Saccharomyces cerevisiae S288C: one gene and its partner. The protein of the gene in region 2 binds, or shares a complex with, the protein of the main gene of each other region. Each region holds a gene or a part of one and is shown on either strand. Other genes may lie near its edges.

Evidence for each region. The genes of interacting proteins can lie anywhere in the genome.
Region 1: LSM6 (region 2) and LSM7 share a complex: the UniProt entries of both Saccharomyces cerevisiae proteins name them as parts of the spliceosome U4/U6-U5 tri-snRNP complex.

The regions. Positions count from the first base shown.
Region 1 is NC_001146.8:349,021-351,883, forward strand, and holds LSM7 (Sm-like protein LSM7), read left to right. Parts: upstream 1-1,919; coding exon 1,920-1,937; intron 1,938-2,033; coding exon 2,034-2,363; downstream 2,364-2,863. Other genes in the region: PGA2 (Pga2p), read right to left, coding at 347-736; ALF1 (Alf1p), read right to left, coding at 887-1,651; YNL146C-A (uncharacterized protein), read right to left, coding at 2,366-2,560; YNL146W (uncharacterized protein), read left to right, coding at 2,695-2,863. UniProt on the Saccharomyces cerevisiae protein: Component of LSm protein complexes, which are involved in RNA processing and may function in a chaperone-like manner. Component of the cytoplasmic LSM1-LSM7 complex which is involved in mRNA degradation by activating the decapping step.
Region 2 is NC_001136.10:1,228,849-1,231,560, reverse strand, and holds LSM6 (U4/U6-U5 snRNP complex subunit LSM6), read left to right. Parts: upstream 1-1,951; coding exon 1,952-2,212; downstream 2,213-2,712. Other genes in the region: GTPase-activating protein RGA2, read right to left, coding at 1-1,394; ATP17 (F1F0 ATP synthase subunit f), read right to left, coding at 2,645-2,712. UniProt on the Saccharomyces cerevisiae protein: Component of LSm protein complexes, which are involved in RNA processing and may function in a chaperone-like manner. Component of the cytoplasmic LSM1-LSM7 complex which is involved in mRNA degradation by activating the decapping step.

The DNA of each region.
Region 1 (2,863 bases), on a different chromosome or scaffold from region 2:
CGTATCTACATAAATCAATTCTTACCCATTTTCTTTTGCATTCTAGCCGTTAATTCACGGCTTAGTCGTTTGATATCGTGTTTGAATTGTGAATTGCATCATTCATGCGGAATGGGAATCATCGCAGTCGTTATCCGTCTCACAAACGTCGGCATTTGCTGACTATTAAGGCGACACGTAACCTACAAACTCAATTTGAGACGCAAACGCAAGTTGATTAGACGTTGAGAATGATGCAAGTAGCAACATCGGTAATGGTTAGACTATTTTATCAGAAAACTATAGAAAAACTAAAAACAAAACAATGTCACAATGACAAAGAGGAACCCATACATACACAGAGAGCCTATTCTTCCAGTAGTTCCTCAATATCAGCATCACTATCTGGGTCCAACCCTTGGTTTCTTCTCTTAGCCTCTTCCAAAGCGTTTTCAAACAACTCCTGTTGTCTTTTAACTCTTCTTCTAGTTTTCTTACCCCAACCGAAAGAAGTTGTTTCTGCTGTTGCAGCATCATCTGGCTTGTCGATCAGGTCTTTTGATCTCTTTTCCTCTTTGTCTCGTTTGTCCTTTTCCACTTGGGCAGCCAACTGCTTCTTCGCCAATTCCCTGGATGCGATATTTCTTAAGAGTAAATAACCACCTACAATTATCACCAATCTTATAAAGTGCTTGTAGTCATAGTTGACTAGTTTTGCCATCCAGGTATCCACCCATGTTTCCGCTACTTCAGACATCTCTTTCAATTACTCGGCAGTTTTTCTCTTCATAACATCTTTTCCTCATACAAACCGCCGAGTGCACATAAATACAACTACAAATAATAATATGTTGACATCGGATGGAGATCACTAACTAAACCGCCACCGCGCTAATTCTGCACAAATTCAAATTTCATCATCGCTCTCCACGTCATCATGGACGTCTTCCACCTCGGCGGATTCTTCGTCTTTTGATAGAATTTCCACAGCCCGCGGACGCACAAACGATCCGTGACCCGGCGCCACAGGCCCAAACAGTGTTACCCCATTTATGCGCCCATCGTTTTTGCCTGCGGCTTCCGGGAATTCCACACCGCACCATGTGCCCATCACGTCCAACGGTAGTGGTCCTACGTACCGTAAAATGGCCTCACGTGGAGCGCTCCCGTCTACTGTGACACGACAGTGGCGGCCGATAGCCGCCGTTAATTGCTCTCGGGCATATGCTTCGTCCTGCTTTGCCAGCGCAGCGCGCTGGCTCTGCTGTGCAGCATTAAACCTACCATAGCCGTGAGCCATCTTCCATCGTAATACGGATTGATCCCTTCGCAAATAATCCTCCTCGCTAATTACTTCCATTGAGGGGATTCCTTCCGCTTGCGTGGCCAGCTGGTTAGAGATTGATTGGGCATTAGAGTCTGTAACAACCACAATAAGCTCCTCCTCTCCTTTTAGGAAGTTGGCATCTTCATCCTCATTTGAATAGGCACCCCCCTTTTTAGTACTATATATCTCCTTGTTGTCGTACTGTCTTTTCACAACTATTTCCATATCCTCTGGTTCCACTCCGGTAACATGGTACAATCGGTCCTTGAACTGCCTTAATTTAAGCGAATTTGGTAATTCCTTTTCTGTACGGACCAATTCACTCTCTATGACAACTCTAACCATAGTTTTGCCATGTAATTTTTTTTTCTATCTCTTTATTTGAATTCGTTGCTCTATGTTCTTGTCGCTTGTCTTCTTCAACTGCCGTTTCCCTGCGAGCCGGAAAAAAGTACTGTTCTTTCGAACAAAGGCGAAAAAAGCTGTAGCTGAAAACAGACAACTGGGAAACGACAATTAAGAATACGCATGTACGTGTATACTACTACAGTAAAAAAGAAAGTTATTTGAGAGCAGCACTTTGTTTACTACACAGAACATTAACCAAAAAAACATGCATCAGCAACACTCCGTATGTTTCACTTCTTATTTTCTTCCGTGGCAATAACCTTCCTTTTGACTTATTTATACTAACATTATAATAACTATGTTTCCTTTTTGAACTAAGAAATCAGAGAACAAACCACAACAGCAAAGGAAAAAATTCGAAGGCCCTAAAAGAGAAGCTATTCTGGATTTAGCGAAGTATAAAGATTCTAAAATTCGCGTCAAATTAATGGGTGGTAAATTAGTTATAGGTGTCCTAAAAGGCTATGATCAACTGATGAACTTGGTACTTGATGATACAGTAGAATATATGTCTAATCCTGATGATGAAAACAACACTGAACTGATTTCTAAAAACGCAAGAAAGCTAGGTTTGACCGTCATAAGAGGTACTATTTTGGTCTCTTTAAGTTCCGCCGAAGGTTCTGATGTACTATATATGCAAAAATAGGTTTAATAATATAATCTCATATAAACTCCCTTCCTTACAGTTGAAAACAAAATCAAATCACGGTATGGCATTTCTTTACATATTCTCAATACCTGACTGACATAGTATGCGCTACATAGTTTTGTCCTATTTTTTTTACACCGCGATTTGAAGTCTAAAGCCAGAGAATGAGGAAAAACGAAACAAACTGAGATCATTTGTATAAGGGGAGTCACTGTACAGCTGCCAATACCAATTTTCCTTCTGCCAAATCAAAAAAGTATCCGCATACACATACACCCCTCCCTCTACAATCTTAATTATTTACTGATTCCTTTCGTATTTGTCCAGTATGAGCAATACTAAGCATACCACTTCTCATCACATGGAACTCAAAAGGATCATTATCCTTACACTTTTATTCATACTCATAATGTTGATATTTCGAAACTCAGTGTCCTTCAAAATGACATTTCAAGAACTACTGCCACGATTTTACAAAAAGAATTCAAACTCAGTTA
Region 2 (2,712 bases):
TGTATAGAAGTGCTGTGATGGGGATGCTTTGGGTCCAGCATTTCCGAAGTTTTACTTTTCAGGTTGTGAACAAAATTTTTGGACTTCAAAGAAAACGATCTTGAAAGTTTTTTGTTTGGAGAGGGTGCTACTTTTTTATGCGGCAATAAGTTATCTGCTGTTTGAGGCCTGCTGAAACTTCCATTATCAGACAAACGTAATGTCGATGAAGAGGTTGATGTTTTCATTTCTACGGTATCGGTTCTTGTAATCGGGGAGACATGATTCATAGATTTGGAAGTTGACGTTTGAATACCTTGAGATGATTTGTTATTTTCTTTCGTAGCTTCTGATAAAGTTAATGCCAGTCCATGCGGAGGTTCGACCTCTTCGTTCATTTGTACAGCCATAGGGCTGTTCAAAGGACTTGTAATTTTATCAGTGCTATTTCTGGGTGTGTTGACGATGATTTCATTCTCTTTGTTGTCTGTATCATCTTTGTCTGTCTCTTCTTTATCATAAATTGAAAAGAATCTATTCGCGTTCGAGTTCGAATTTGGGATCCTCGGATCCTTTACCACTATGGAATCTCGATTTGCTCTTTGTGGTTTTAATAGCCTATAGGTTACGTCTTCACCCATTTTGTTGATGTAGTCCTCATTATCCACCAAACTCTGCTCTTCAATGCTATTACTATCGTGTTCCAAAGTAGAGTTCAGAATGTCGTCAATAGAAACCGTCCTTGCGTGAGAAGATGTTTCCTCCCTGTCCTTGCTGTTATCATTATCATTATTGTCATTCAACGATGATTCATCTCTTTCTTGTGATACTAAAACTTGTGGAGTGAGCTGTTGATCCTCATTCGAGCTTACAAGGTTCTTACTTATTGCGGTGTTGTTTGTACTGACATCTGACTTACCATTTATTCTGGTGGGTGACAAGGGCCTTTTGACTGATCTTTCAGGAAGTTTTATGGGAAAATCTTCTTTCGATGAATTTTTTGTTTGATTTTCCAGTAATAGTTGTTTTTTTCTCAACAATTTCTCGTGACAATCCATACAACATAGTCCTCGTTTTGTCTTTGCATACTTTAAGTTCTTTATACGGTTGCTGCACCGACAGCATCTGAAACAATTGGAACAATAGGCCTCATTTGAGGAAGGCAGTATAATTGCTGTGTCGTCTATTTTATCGCCACAATTTGTACATTTATCTGAGCAGTCGTAACAAATTAATGTACCTATATCCAGAACCAAAAAGTCTGAATCTGCGTTCAATTTTTTGTCACATTTGTAGCATGTAAAGCACTGGTCATGCCATTTTTTGCTTTCTAATTCGTATACCTGGCTAGACGCGATTGATTTATTGCACCTCACACATAAAGACGATTGGTCATTAATAGGGTCAGCTGACATATTTTTTTCATCAAAATCTCCTTGCTCTTGAGATGCTACGTTATATTTCACTTTATTAAAAGTACAATGAACTCTTGGTAATAAAAGATAAGGATTAGAAACGCCAAGTATGCAAAGATGAAATGTTAATCAATAGGGGAGTCGACTGATCGATCTTCTGGCTAACATTCTCCAAGGAATGCCAATTTTCATATCTCGACCTGATACTGTTTACCCGAATGGGAAACTAAATTGACGTGCATTATCATTACAATTAAAAGTTACTGAAGCGATGCAACGATTTAAGCACAATTGAAGCGGCATAAATCGAATATCACTGTGGCTAATTAACTGGGTTATGTGTAGGAAATAAATGTTATTACGACTATAGGCCTTTCTTTTAGCCGTTTAATGTAAGATATTTCTATTATTAAAACATTTTACCCGGGGGCAGCTGTTCGTGTACAATGCCAAATAAGCAACGTCGCAGCAACCCATTCAATAATGCACAAGACGCCATATTAACGAGAAAATATGGCATTGCACAGTATAAGCAAAACAAGCAGAGATTATTAGTGATGTCCGGAAAAGCTTCTACAGAGGGTAGCGTTACTACGGAGTTTCTCTCTGATATCATTGGTAAGACAGTGAACGTCAAACTTGCCTCGGGTTTACTCTACAGCGGAAGATTGGAATCCATTGATGGTTTTATGAATGTTGCACTATCGAGTGCCACTGAACACTACGAGAGTAATAACAATAAGCTTCTAAATAAGTTCAATAGTGATGTCTTTTTGAGGGGCACGCAGGTCATGTATATCAGTGAACAAAAAATATAGACTTATCTCCTCTAATGGATTAATATGTAGGAATGAGCAAGTTGGTTTGACATAAAGTTGCATTTGCGAGTTTAGCACGGATACACACAAACACACCCATATCTATATACATATATATATATATGTGTGTGTGTATATCGAATAGGATCGAACAGTTTTATTTTAATGAATTTTTATGAATATATATTGTAAAGTTTACTCTCCGTCTCATTATTTTTATGCTTTACTAAAGAAAAAATGAATAGAGCCAGAAAGTGACGGAGTTTCCTTATAGACATATGAAAACAACGAAATTTTGTTCTATCACTTATGTACTCCTTTCAATTTCGCTCAAAAATTATTTGGATTTACCAAAAAGTTTTTCTTCTCTTTGCATGTTTGGTTTAAAAAGGCTTAAAATAAAGAATTTTCTACAAAAGTAAAACTCCACGTTCAATGCTCTTCCGCACCTTTATGATGTCTCAAATGAAAATAATATTCCATGGAATAGCCAAAGGCAA